2 linked regions of the Notamacropus eugenii genome follow. The protein of the gene in region 2 interacts with the protein of the main gene of each other region in a biochemical or structural test. Links are inferred from orthologs where the notes say so. Each region holds a gene or a part of one and is shown on either strand. Other genes may lie near its edges.

What was found. The genes of interacting proteins can lie anywhere in the genome.
Region 1: of the proteins of ATXN3 (region 2) and CAPN2, one has a biochemical effect on the other in vitro, tested with the Homo sapiens proteins (2 studies listed by BioGRID). The link is inferred for Notamacropus eugenii from reciprocal best matches to the Homo sapiens genes ATXN3 and CAPN2.

Annotation. Positions count from the first base shown.
Region 1 is NC_092873.1:412,734,787-412,741,941, forward strand, and holds the start of CAPN2 (calpain-2 catalytic subunit), read right to left. Parts: upstream 3,023-7,155; 5' UTR 2,982-3,022; coding exon 2,745-2,981; intron 1-2,744. UniProt on the Homo sapiens protein: Calcium-regulated non-lysosomal thiol-protease which catalyzes limited proteolysis of substrates involved in cytoskeletal remodeling and signal transduction. Proteolytically cleaves MYOC at 'Arg-226'.
Region 2 is NC_092878.1:38,407,225-38,414,623, reverse strand, and holds the start of ATXN3 (ataxin-3), read right to left. Parts: upstream 3,016-7,399; 5' UTR 2,948-3,015; coding exon 2,924-2,947; intron 1-2,923. UniProt on the Homo sapiens protein: Deubiquitinating enzyme involved in protein homeostasis maintenance, transcription, cytoskeleton regulation, myogenesis and degradation of misfolded chaperone substrates.

The DNA of each region.
Region 1 (7,155 bases), on a different chromosome or scaffold from region 2:
AGAGATCGAGGATTCTAGAGTTAGCTCTGGAAGAGGCCTTGAAGGTCATGTAGTATAACCGTTTCTTTTTCTTCCTTCCTTCCTTCCTTCCTTCCTTCCTTCCTTCCTTCCTTCCTCCCTCCCTCTCTTCCTTCCTTCCTTCCTTCCTTCCTTCCTTCCTTCCTTCCTTCCTTCCTTCCTTCCTTCCTTCCTTCCTCCCTCCTTCCCTCCTTTCTTCCTTCCTTTTTTCCTTCTTTCCTTTCCTTTCCTTTCCTTTCCTTTCCTTTCCTTTCCTTTCCTTTCCTTTCCTTTCCTTTCCTTTCCTTTCCTTTCCTTTCCTTTCCTTTCCTTTCCTTTCCTTTCCATTTTGTTCAGTGGTTTCACTTGTGTCTGACTCTCTGTGACCCCATTTGGGGTTTTCTTGGCAAAGATACTGGAGTGGTTTGCCATTTCCTTCTCCAGCTCATTTTTACAGATGAGGAAACTGGGGCCAGCAGAATTAAGTGACTTGCTAATAAATGTCTGAGAACAGATCTGCAGTCAGGAGGATAAGTCTTCCTGACTTCAGACTCAGAACTCTATTTATTCATGGTACCACCTAGTTTTTTTTTACACAGATGAGAAAACTGAAGCCTAGTTATGTGATTCACACAACGTCACACAGATAGTAAGTAGTAGAAGCAGAATTTGAATTCAGATCTCTGATTCTAAATCTAATGACTTCACCACTAGACCACAACAGAGGAAGGACTTCAGAGGTTACAGCACAAAGTAAGGGCAGAGGAAAACAGTGACTGAGGAAGCATTAGGGTTGAGTTTACTATGAGGCACAGTCTATAGCCATTGGTACAGTCAGTAGCAACTACTTTGTGGCTGATCCCCTACTGATCTCCAGGCCACAGGTTAGGTAGCTAATTGGAGATCCAGAGTTTGGATGAGGAGGTGCCCCCCAGAAGGGCACAAAGGGCATAATGAACCCCATGGGGACAGGTGGACTCCTTGAGGCCAAGGGAGGAAGCGAACTGGTTGGATAGCTAGAACTGGAAACCTTTCTAGAGTAGATGGAGAAATCACCCTCTCTCCATAACTCCTCTAACTCTCTACTTCCCCATGTCAGCATTAGGGGTACAGCCCAATTGCCCCATACTGGTTGTAGATTTGGCTCTTATTGTTAAGGATTATTCCACGTATTTTCAAAAACTTTTTTCACGCCTTTGGCTTTCTTTCTGAAGTCCACAAATGTAGCTAAGAAATTCCTGATCAGGCCAAATTAGGCCAGGGAGAATTCACTGTAGCCAGAATAAACAGCTAACCTCTGTTTCATTCATAAATGTTGTAGCAAAAATGAGAAAGTGGGTCAAGGGAAAGGCACAGATGAGAGAATGTAAGATGACAATCGCCTTTTCAATCATTCCAATGACCTTAAAGAGAGATCCTCAAATTCCTCACTCAGGTCTGGTAAACAGACTGTGGAGGAACAATTCAAATGTGGAAGGACAGGAGATTGGGCCCCCCCAAGGTGCACCTGTCTAATATGCACAGACATTTCCACTGAGAAGGCAGAAAATGTCCAAGGACCAGCTCATCTGTCTGCCTGCCTTGGATCTTGTGAAAGTTGATGGGTGTGTGAAACGGGAGGCTTGACAAAAGAGGCTGTATGTAATAAGGAGAAACCTCAGGCCTGAGTGTCTGAGGAAGCGGGAGTGACCATGAAAAGGAGTCCTCTGGAGTATCTCTTCCTTCCCAGATTTTACCTCCAGTTAAAGTACTACCAGATAGCTCAGCTGTCTTTCAGTGGAGAAACAAAATACTTTCTGTATAGAAATGAATGAATTTTGCAGATGAGGAAACTGAGGCCTAGAGACACTGATGTACCTGACTAGTTAGGGGTGGAGATGGGAGTAGATCCAGTTTCTCCTCTGTCCTCATGCCAAGTTCTTTCTACAATGCACCAGGTTACATGGCTCCTCAAATATTTGCTTCTTAGCTGCTTTTCCCTATGGTCCATTTTTCCTTTATCTTCAGACTTTGACTCACAACAGGGTATCCCAGATCTCTGAGGAGCTAGCTATCCCCGGTCTTTACCAGCTTTCTCCTGATTAATGTTGACTCTGTGGATGCCGAGTTGTGATGACAGCCGGGCTTGCCCTGGAAAATCTTGCTCTGTATTGTGTGTGAGGAGGAAAGACTACATGTGTTCCAGGCCTCCTGGAATCCGGGCTCCCCTAAGGGACCCTCCTACAAGTCCTTTGCACTGAGTAACCTCAGTTCCTTTAATAGAGTAAGCAGGCCAGATGTTCGGAAAAGCTGAACTCTGGTTGGCTGCTTTCTATAAGGGCGCAGCTGATTCTTTCCTGAACCATTCCCGTCTCCTTCCGCTTGGATTCTACTTCTATTTTCCTGGGTGTGTAGCCTATACCGCACCACCCTTTCTACCTTTCTCATTACCCAGAACAGCTAACAGCGCTTTAGTTAAGTGTCAGCTAACAGCGAGGGCTAGTACTAACTCTAATATGGATGGATGATTCACTTCGTTTCAGTTCAATCCAACAACTATTTAATAACTACCTACTGTATACAGAGTCCTGGATTAGGTATAGGGGGGGCAATACCAACTTGAGATACAAACTGGCATACAGACTGACCTCCTGGCATTGACTCTTTAATTCAGGCTTTGCTGAGGGAGGGAGGGACTCCAGTCCCCTCTCCCTGCTCGGATCGCTTCCCCATCCCACCCCAGAACAGCTTGCCAGTACACTGCCTACCGTGGGTCTCTTCCAGACGACGCCTTGAGTTTTGCTCGAGTGCGGTCCCAGTTCCTTGAACCCCAGGGAAGATATAATCGCCGGGAAGGAAGGATCCTGAAAGAGTTTACCCTCCTCCAGGCATTCGTTGAGAAGTGTCTCGTAGTCCTGGTTGAGGTATTTGACCGCGAGGTCGTGAGTGCCCAGGCCGGCCGCCGCCTCTCGGTCTCTCACCACTTTGGCTGCGATGCCCGACATGGCTCCGGTCCTGGGTTGCTGCCACGGCCTAGGAAATGCGGCTCAGAAGGCGCTGGGGCTGCCCAGGAGCAGAGGGAGGCTGCAGGCGCGAGGAGCAGGGGCACGCCAGGGGGTTGGAGCTGGTGCTGCTATCCTGTTTGCGGATGGGGGTGATTCACCGGAGAGGGAAGGGCACCACCAGCTCACCCGCCGCAGAAGGCTGGGTGTGGCTTTGTCTCCTAACTCTGCGCCGCTTTGCAGCGGGACTCCGGGCCCAAAGACTTCAGGGGAGGAGCCAAGCCCCGTGGAAGGACAGCTCCACTGGATGTGCTGCCCTCTGCGGGCAGTCTGGGCACACGCGCCCGCACAGGGCACCTCTTCTCCCCCAGATCCTGCTCCCCATCCCCTGGGAAGTTGCTGCCTTCCCTTCCACCTCTCCCAAGGAGGCTAGGCACTTAGGGGGCCCACTTATCTCCACGGAGTATGGAGAAGATGACGCAGTAGTTAGAGCTCTGGATCAGGAGAAAAGAAGACCAAGTTCACATTCCGTTGGCTTTGTGATCTGGGGCAAAGTACTTAATTGCTTTCGGTCTCAGTTCTTGTTCATCCTCAGTTCTCAATAATACTAACCTTTACCTCACGGGGATATTGTGAGGGTAAATTGGGATAATATTTGTAAAGCGTTTTGCACACCTTAAAATGTTACTATGTAAATGCGTGCTACTATTATTATTATTGTTAAGATAATATGTATCTCAGGCAGGGGTTCTTCAATTGTGATCCATGAACTTGAATGTGTGTGTATACACATACATAAATACATGCATAAATTTTAAAATGAATATGATATATAAATATATATGATAAATGTATGCATATATCAACATAATTGGTTTTCTTTGTAATTCTATGTATTTTATTTTGTGCATTGAACAACTTTGTTCTGAGAAAAGAGTCCAAAGGATGATGCTGGAACTAGCTCCAACTGGCTCCTGTTAAATTTTCAGTATAAGCATTTAGACTTCAGAAATGGGAAAGTCTACTAATCATGGCTTGATTGACTGGTTTCTAAGCTTAAGAAAGTGATGGAGAAAATATTAATGCAGATTAAAATTATGTTTACTCCCCCCCCCCCCAGTCTATTCTTAAAAATTTAACAGCACATCTCTGGGGTCGTGACACAAAATGAGATTTAAACTCCTACTTTAAGGTTTGCAAAGTGCTTTGAATATAAGATCTCCTTGATGGATAAGAGTGATGGATTTGGAGGGAAGAAGACCTAGGTTTTCCTCTTGCCGGACAGTACTACTGAACAGCTCTGTCAGCTTTCATTTGAGAAATAAAATACTTTTTTTAAGGAACCAGGATAAGATTGATAACATTTTACAAAAAAGGAAAGCAAAATCCCAGAGATGATGTGACATGTCCAAGGTCACACTGCCATTTCCTGAGAGAGCTGGGGCTAAATCTTGCATCTCCTGCCTTCAAGTGCTGAACTCTCTCTAGTGAATGTGAATGCACTACCCCATAAACGTTTGCTGGTAGGCGTCAGTATTGTGGATTCATACAGGTCTGGCCTTGGCAGCAAACTGACTTGTGTTCAAATCCCACATCAGAAACTGACTTGTGTGACTCAGGGCAAGTCATTTAATCTTTCTCAGCCTCAGTTTCCTCATCTGTAAAATGAGCCTCTAAGATCCCTCCCACCTCTACATCGATAAGCTTATTTCTGAGTCTCCCAATGACCTTGTAAGGAAGATGCTATTTTTATTCCCATTTTACAGATAAAGAAACAGGCACAGAGTTTAGTGATCTGCGTAGGGTCACATAGTCCATAAATGTCTGAGGTGGGATTTCAATCCAGGTTTTCCTGATTCCAAGTCTAGCCCTCTATTAGCTCTTGTGTTCTCTGTCTCTAGTGTTCTACTGTTTGTGATGGTCCCACATATTTGGTGCTATGGAATGAGTGCGGGCTTTTGAGTCAGAAATCCTGGGTTTAAATCCTGATTCTTACCCTTACTATCTATATCACAAGATCACAGATTTAGATCTGGGAAGGACCTTTGAGGTCCTCTAGTCCAGATGTGTCAAACATACTGCCTGAATCATATTAAAATTCAATTGGGAAGTATTTAGCAAAAGAAATTAAAATACAATAAAACATAAATACCCTTACATTTTAAAACTGCATTAAGGTGCAGACCACAAGTATATTTATGTATGGCTAGTGACCTTCCTTTAAGTTTGAGTTAGACACCACTGAAGTAGTCCAACGTCCTCCTTTTACAGGTAAGGAAACTGAGGCTTGAAGAGATGAAGTGATAGATTTGGACCCAGCTCTTCCTAACTCCAACACCAGTATTCTCTCTGCTTCACCAATGATTCCCAGCTTTCTTTTTTGTTAGTCTCTGAACTTCTTTCAAGAACAAAAGTAAATGTATGGTGAACCCCTAGGGTAATTTAATGTACCACTCATAATATTATTTTAGACATTAATTAAATGTTTACAGTAAATACAATGATAACTTTTGCCCAGGAAAGCTCATGATGTGCCCAAATTGCTGTAGAAACAAACAAAATTCTTCAGACATGCACATGCTTGTCATTGAGGAAAATTTTATTTGAAAACAATTGAGCAATTATTTATTGCTTAAGGCAATGCTAAAGAATTTTTTAGCATGAACATCTTGGAGTTAGGTTTGTGAACCACTAATTGAGACCTACTGCACTATAAACACCCAGTCTTTTCAGCTGACCTTAAGCAAATCAGCTCACTCTTCTGAAACTCAAATTTCTTCATCTGTAATGAAGTTGGACTAGATGACCTCTAAGGTCCTTTCCAGCTGGAAATCTGTGAATGAATAGACTTCTGCTTTCTACTACCTCTGTTAATCCTTGTCCTGAACAAATACTCTTTACAAAACCAGAGAGAACTACTTTATGGGAAAGATTCCCCATCAGTTTGTTTTGCTAGGTCAGATTTGACCATGACTTTTGACTATTAAACAGGCTTGGAATATTGAACCCAAGTTATCCTCTTTCCTCCCTCCTCTCCACCCCTCCTCCTATGAACATCCTCCTTATTTTAGACATTAGCCTTATTTAAGACATTAGCCTTATTTCTTGGGCCCATAAATTACTACTCTTGTCTGTAGCTAAAGGAAACTATCTATTGTTAAGTGGGTGTGGGAAAAAAAAACAATCAAGTAATACCAGCCAATTATAAACAAATCAAGGTTGGAGATTTCACTTCAACTGCCTTCAAAAGAGCCTATCCTATGATGAGACTGGCTTCAGCCATGACTTCTATGTCAATGACTCCCAAATTGAGATCATCTTACAAGGTTCCTTCCAGCTCTGTGTCCCTGCAGTCAAAAATGATCTTTTTCTTTTTGCAAGGCAATTGAGGTTAAGTGACTTGCCCAGGGTCGCAGAGCTAGGAAGTGGCAAGTGTCTGAGGTCAGATACGAACTCAGTCAGGTCCTCCTGACTTCAGCGTCGATGCTCTATCCACTCCGCCACCTAGCTGCCCCCAAAATGATCTTTCTTGTCTCAGAACTTTTATTGTATTTTGTATTTCTCTTATGCCCTGATCATATTTTATTTTGTAGACTAGTTAGTACATAATGAACACATATTTGTGTATATTCTTTCTCCTTTTAGATCATAAGCTCCACAAAGTCAGGGACAATATTTTAATCATATTTTATCTAAATATTTGTTGCATGAATGAGTGAATGAAGTGATAGAATCTGTCCTAGCATATCTGGTTTTCCGCTTAACTCTTTCTCATGTGGGTGGCATTCAGTTACATCCTGGTAACAGGTTTCATGATAGAGTCGGTGACATTCCCAAGTATTTGAGGGGAGAATGGTGAAGATGACATGAAGGAAGTGATGGGGTTCAGACTCTGGGAGCCTCCTTGATCTCCCCTTGAATCTTCCCACTTAATCAGGCCTTTCGTACTCAAATCTAATCTTCCCATTTGTTCAGGCAGTCTCTGGAAACTCATCAAGATCCGTATTCATTCCCATGCTGCCCCTATCAAGATCTCTGGATTGCCCCACCCGCTTCCCACCCAAACCCTCCATTGTCTGATATCTCCTGATAGCCTCCAGCTGTTTCCAGCCTTAGACCTTCCTCGGATTCCCTCCTTGGACTTCTCAAGACCCTTCCTAAACCCCTCCTCCCGTCA
Region 2 (7,399 bases):
AGCCAAGCTCAAAATCTAGGTGTCATCTTCAAATCCTTACCCTCATGTCTCTCACAAATGCTCCCTTTTCTCCTCTGACACAGCCAACACATTGGTACAAGCCCTTGTCACCTCATACTTGGACTCAAGTTCTCATTCTGACAATACCAGTGACCCTGGAGAAGTCACTTAATCTCTCAGTTCCTCAAGCAATGTTCGAAGACCATAAATTGCAAACGAGGTGACCATCTTCATTGGCAGAGGAAGTTTCCTATACCACTGAAATTACAGGTTCCATCCTTCCAAAATGTAATTTGGCAATTTCATGAAGTAGCATGTAAAAGATTATTTAAAGTATTCTAAAATGAAGCACTCAGAAAGACATATAAGACATGTATTACAATAGCATTGAAATCAAACAGAAACAATTTCTGGGAGCTGCATAGTGACAAATTAATATTATCTATGTTGTATTGTCTTTTTATTCATTTTGTTAAATTTTCTCAATTACATTTAAATCTGATTCTGCAGCCTTCCAGCATGAATTTGACACTTCTGATGTATTATACAGAAGCAACTGCCAATAAAGTTCTATTACCAATGACTATCTCATGATATGGAGGTAACCCCCCATTCATGAAGACTATATCAGTTGAATGAAAGCAGTGGCTGATCAGAGGATGATAAATTTATTTTGAAAGGATTTTGAAAGTAAACTTTTCCAATCTGTTAATTTTACACATAAGGAAACTGAGACCCAAAGAGGTTATATGACTTTCTCAAAGTCATGTAAGTACTAAATGGCAGAAACAAGATTCAAACGCAGGTGCTCTGGCACCAAATTCAGTTCTTCCTGTGGTACCAACAAAACCAGAAAGACTCTGAGTAGAAGAAACAGACTGTCTATTGAACAAGGAAATGCTTAGCTGTTTGGGGAGGCTCAGCACCTGAATGTTGGTGAATTTTGGAATCTTAGAAACTCAGCAAATAGTCTACCAATGTGTAGAAGGGTCACAAACTACATCATGGAAGGAGAATGTATAATTATAGAATTATATATCTTTTGAAGTATTGAAATATACATAAATAAAGCCTCATTATATGTCTCTCTGCCAGACAACTATACTTCCTTTTCAAGTAAAACAAATAATCAATAATGCTAATCAAGGGTTATCTATACCACTGACATCATCAAAATGAAAAATCTATTATCTTCTTTAAAATTTTCTGAAAAATCTTCCAACTAAAATTTTCTATTTTTTAAAAAATCAGCTACTTCAGACTTATTATAACAAATCCATTATAATGCCACTATGATGGATTTTTATTTGGTAGCTGTGAATAAATTGTTTAAATAAAGTACTGACCATTTAAAGTACAAAAAAGACCCTCTACCTGAGCCATCAAAATAATGTCATAGTAATATATAATGGATAACATAAAAGACTCCACTTTTCCAAACTAATCCTGCCAGTTTTCCCTTCTACACAATGATATTTACTATAAAATAAGAAAACAACACTTGCCCAAAGCTGTTTATGGAAAGTTTCACCCACACCCAATGGGCCTGATAATTATAAAGAGAGAAGACAAGTCTCTCCACATACCACAACCATTTAATTGCCCTTATTTTCAAGTGGTCATTTAAGAATCAAAAGGAAGAAACAATCAGGAACAAACATATGTACAAAAGTCTTGGGCAACTAATTAAGGGTTGGAGATGCCCCAGTTCAATCTCATGTCAGCTAAGGAGTAGCACTCATCTAATGAGAAACTGAAGCTGAGCTTAACTTCTTATAAAGATGAATATGTGTGTGGTCCAGACCACGCACACCAAAACCTCTTCTGGGCTAATTATTTCAGTGGAGGGGGGGGGAGAAAAGATTTCTGGCTTGGGGGCTTTTAATGACATACAATAATACAAATATTGACTAAAAAACTACTCTGCACTGGACACTGTCAGGGATAATAGTTTTTAAAATGAAATTAGTGTTTTTTTCTCTTAGAAGGCTTGCAATACAGCAAGGAGATAAGAAATATCAATAGAAATAGGGATGATACAAAACATTACACGATAAATACCTCAAAGAAGTAAAATACAAAGTGCCATCTGAGGGCTCAGGGAAAGGTCGGGGGAAGGTGGTATTTGAATTGGATCTTATGGCACCTACCAAGTTTTCAAAAATGCTTTCCTCAAAAGCAAGCCTTCAAGGAAGGGAAGACAAATCCCCAATGAAACTAGGGTTGGAGTGGGGTGTGACCAGCTTTGAAAGGACCACACAGCTAATGCCTTCCAGACCCCGAAGTCCAGGAGTCTTTCTGCTACATCGCTCTGCCAGTTCAAAGATGGGTAGGACTTGAAGTATTGAACTAATTAAAGAATTAGTTCAGTGCAGGAGAGGGAGGGCTTTCTGGACGAGGCTTCTCAGCCTACTTACCCACCCTACAAGGTGGGGAGGTGGAGGTCTGGGGATCTCCCATCCTGCCAGCAGCGGACACTGGAGCTTGGAGCGGGGAGGAAAAGCGGAATTGTAATAAAGATCATCACAGCAAACAATAGCTAGCTAGGGAAGAGCTGATCCAATGCACGCTACCACATCCAGGGCCCAAGGCATCCACGAACACGACCCCATCCCCTTCCAAGTCCCTTCTTCCGCCCCTCCCCGAAGCTTCTGACCCACGCCCCGCCGGTCCTTCCCGGACTCCTCGGAGCCCGGCGGCCGAAGGTCGGTGAGGAGGGTCCTTGGGCAGGCGAATGAGTGGGTGCCCTCGGAAGGAAGCAGCTGCCCACGCTGGGTGCCCCCTCCCCACGCTAGGTAGGCCCCGACGGGAGGGTGGAGGCAGCAAGAGAGGCCGCCTTGGCTTTCTGGAGAACCCAGGACTCCCTTCACCTCCCGCACCGCCCAAGGCAGGAAGAACGCCCTAGCGATCCTCGGACACTTACTTTCTCGTGGAAGATGGACTCCATGTTTATTTGTCTGGAGCCAACGGCCCCGAGTCGAACCACCCCCCTCCGGCACCTCCCCCCGCCCCCCGCCCCAGTTCTGTCCCCATCCCCACCCCCACGCCCTAGCCCAACCCGCTCCGCCGCGCCCCGCCCACGTGCTCCCGACGCTGACCAATCAAACGCTGGAGATCCGAGTCTTGTGAGAAGCAAGTGGGAGGGGGGAAGGAGGGAGCGGGTCCGCGAAGAGCCCTTCCCTTGGCGTAATCTCCCACGTGACCCTCGCGGGGCGGCCCCGCCCCGTCCACTCGGCTCTTCCGGGCCCCTGCTGGTCGCGTTCCTGGAGCCTGCATCCTCTTTGGGTTTACGGGAGGACCTTTTGGACGGGGTCTAGCGCCAGGGGCTCTTCTCGGTCGTTTGACTGAGCTGGGTCCAGGCAGGCCAGGTGGGTCCTTAACCTTTCAGGATCTTAGGCTTTGGAGCCCGCAGGGGAAGGGCCGTAGAAATCCTGTGGTCCTACAGCCCTTGTTTACAGAGGAGGAAACTGAGGCCCGAACCGTGGGGGTGTGAAGGCTTCTTCCCCCGTCACCTTCACAGTGCTAGCCTGTGACAGACGAGGCTCTGGCGAGGGGTAGGGAGCTTGGAGTAGTTGAAGAGACACGGGACAGCTGGCTCAAAATGTGAATGAATTAGCTTAGACCTTCTCTGTAGTCATTGGGAGCTTTATTTGATGCAGAAGCAGCGGGCCTAAGACTTAGCAAGGAGCTAAATAAAGGCAATGGTATAGGAAGAGGACCAGACTTAAATAGGATGATTTTAGGGTTTCCTTGTAGGGGCTGTAGGTCTAGGGGAGGTCTTGCAAGATAAAAGCACCAGGTGAGGACTATGAATGACACGATAAGGAAATCCCATTCCCCCGGATGAGGGGTGGGGATAAGGAATTATATGGTCCAGGATAAGGGGAAGTTGTGGTAAGGGGACACTTTAGGGCACCCAGGGTTTCACAAAGTCAATATTATTTTAACTCTTAGGGCACTGTTCTATCTACCTCATTTCCCCACTCTACCACTAGGTAGGAGAATTCTTTCAGGGGAAAAGGGGTGAAGGTCGTTGTCTTCAGTAGCTGCTTCCTGCTGAACAGGGGCAAAGAGTCCACTTCAGGGGCCAGAATAGGTTGGGGGGGCAGGTGATCAACGTGGGATGCAGAATGCAGTGCCAACTGAGTCCAGGGAGGAGAGAGGCAAGACACTCGGGGTCATCAAGGTCAGGGTGGGTATCCTAAAAGTTACTGTGGGTGAGAAGACACAAACCAAACCAGGAGATTAAACAAGCACACGCTAAGTATAACTATGATTGAGTGAAATGACCAATAAGGGGGTCACAATGAAGGGAAAGAAGGGAGAGAAACCACAACCCCCAAGAGGAGGTAGGGAGAGATAAAAGGCTGGAGTGGATATAAATCCAAGAGGCTGCCCGTAGTACCCTTTGAGTGCTCAAAGGAAAAATTCCATGTAAGACCTTCAGGGAATATAGGGAAAGAGCAATGGAGAGTAAGCTAGTGTCCTGGGCATGATGGTGACACACCCAGCAATCACATACTCTGCCTTGCCCCACAGAGTTCTCTGTTTGAATTAAGGCTTTAGACTTCCAGTTGTGAGGAAGCAGATGGGATAAGAAATTCATGTTTGTGTTGGCAAGGAACTAAATATTACATAGGTAACTTTTATTACATAGATAGGTGATATATCGATTCATGTGTATGTGTGTGTCATTGTATATGTATATACACATATGTATGTATATTTTATATATATATGTACACGTACATATATGTATACAAATACAGTTTTTGTGCTAAATTCATAATATATACTAAACTAAGTGTCCCAAAATACTTTGAACTTTCGGGATACTATTACACACACACACACACATATATATATATATATATATGTGTGTGTGTGTGTTACTCACATACACACTACTGACTGTAAATTTTAAAACTTCTCAGTTTGAGTGGCATCACGCAACCAGAAGAAATACAGAAATTAGCATGGGCCAAACCTAGAAACAAGCAATTTCATCGTTTTGCCCCAGCTAAATGAAATGCATATGTATTTTAAACTAAGTAGTCCTCCAACTTTATTGCAGTAACCATTTATTAAGCACCTACTGTGTTCCTGTCTTCAAGGAGTTTACTTTCTACTGAAGATATATCATGTAGAAAGGAAGGGAAACAAGCATTTATTGAGAGCATCCTACGGGTCAAGCACTGTGCTAGGTGGTTTTCAAGTAGCATCTCATTTGATCCCCACTGGAGCCCTAGGAGGTAGGTGCTATTGTTGTAGTTTAACTACTTGCCCAGGGTTACACGACTAGTAAGTGCATGAGGCTAAATCTGAACTCAGATTTCACATTTTAGCTCTATCCATTGAGCCACCTAGCTTAAAGTTTGTAAAGTACTTTGTATGTCATATCATTTGATCCTCAACACATCTGTGTGAAGTATAAGGTGTGCTTATTTCCAGTTTGCAGTGAGGAGACAGGCTTAGAAAAATAACTTACCTAAAGTTCACCCAGCTAGTAAGTGTTTGAGACAGGATTTGAATTCAGTTCTTTCTGGAGACACATGGTATAAGCCTTGAAAGAAGATGAGGATTCAAAGAAATAAGTCAGGAGGGAGTTCATTGATTATTGAAATCAGTTCTATCTGACTCCAAATCCAGTACTCCACCACTTCACCTAACTGCCTCAGTGGTTACATATTCTTCACGCAGAATATGTAAGCAGGTGGGAGGTTGAGGAGGAAGAGAATATTCATTCATTACATTAAGGTTTAGGGAAGACTTCAAAGAGGAGACACTTGGAGTAAACCTTGAAAGAAGAGAAGTCAATAGGGAGTGCATGTTTGTGGTATTATGTGCAGTGTTTAGATAGGTAACATCAGGTAGTCCAACTGGACCAGAGTGAAGGGGAAGTAATAAAGAACAAGGCTGAAAAGTTGCCAAATTTTATTGTTTCTGTTGCCGCATTTCTTTACTATGTCTCCCTTCTTTTCATTCACACAGCAACTACCCTATTTGACCTTTTGCCTGAAAAAATGCAATAGCTTGAACCAATTATTCTCTGTCCTAAATTTCCCCCCACTCCAACCATTCTCCACAAAGCAACTAAAATTATTTTTCTAAAGCATAAATCTGACTATGCCCCTACTTGATAAACACTAAATTACCTTTCTGATCAAATAGAAACTGCTCTGTTTAGCATTTAAATGTCACTAGATCCTGGCCCTTTTTTACTTTCTATGACTTCCTATTTCCATACTTTTGTACTGGCTGTTTCCCATGGCTGGCATGCTCTCCCTCCTCACTTCTGTCTTTTGGGAGTCCCTGGTTCCTTTCAAGACTCAACTGGAGCACCGTCTTCTTCAGGAGGCCTTTCCTGGTCCTCCCCAGCTGCTGGTACCTTTTCTTCCAGGGTTACTTTGTGTCTGTTTTGTACATGTCTGGTTTATACCAGTGTATGTTCTAGTTATCTCCTAAGTAGAATATAAGCTTCTTGGGGCAGAGACTGTTTCAACTTTGTCTTTGCATCCCTAGCTCATTAGCATACATGTTTGTTGATTGAAGTTGAAATTAGATTGTGGAATGCCCTAAATACTAGGTTGAGAAATTTTATTTCACCCCAGAGACTACAATGTGTTGCTGGAAGTTTGCGAGTAAGGAAGTAGTTAGACTTAGGCTGAAAGAAATCTTTTTGCTTGGTTCAGAAATAAAAAAATCTCATTTTTCTCAAGAAGTCCTGGGGGCTTGAATTCAAATCCAGTCTCTGTCACTATCCCTTGTGACCTTGCCCAAGTCATTTAACTCCTCTGCTCCTCAATTCTCTGAAGGGATTGAATTAGATGATGTGGTTCACTTCTAGCTCTAGATCTATGATTCTGTGAACTGACTCCTCTTTAGAAGTGTTAATGAGTAATAAAATACCTCCAGATGAAGCCAGCTAGGCATTTACTTAATTATTGTGCCTGTTCTGTGTATAGCAATGTTCTGGGAGCAGGAGTGAATACATACAAAAGTGTTTATTCAATTGAAAACTACTTGATAATTTAGAGGGAGAAGCAAGACAGATACATAAAAAGTTAAAAAGCACAGCAAAGCAGTGGCAGAAAAGTACCAACTCAGGGGTGGGGAACCTTCGGCCTCAAGGTCACATAAATCCTCAAGTACTGCACTTTGGCCGAATCCAAACTAGGGTCCCCCACTGTCCTAATTTCTTCCATGGAATTTTTCTATTACTACTATTAATAACTAGCATTTCTATAATGCTTTATAGGTTTGAAAAGGCTTTACAAATATTTCATTTGATTCTCATAATCTTGAGAGGTAAGTGCTATTACTCCCATTTTACAGATTAGGAAATTGAGTCAGACAGATTGTGATTTTTCCAGGGTCACACAGCTAATAAACATCTGAG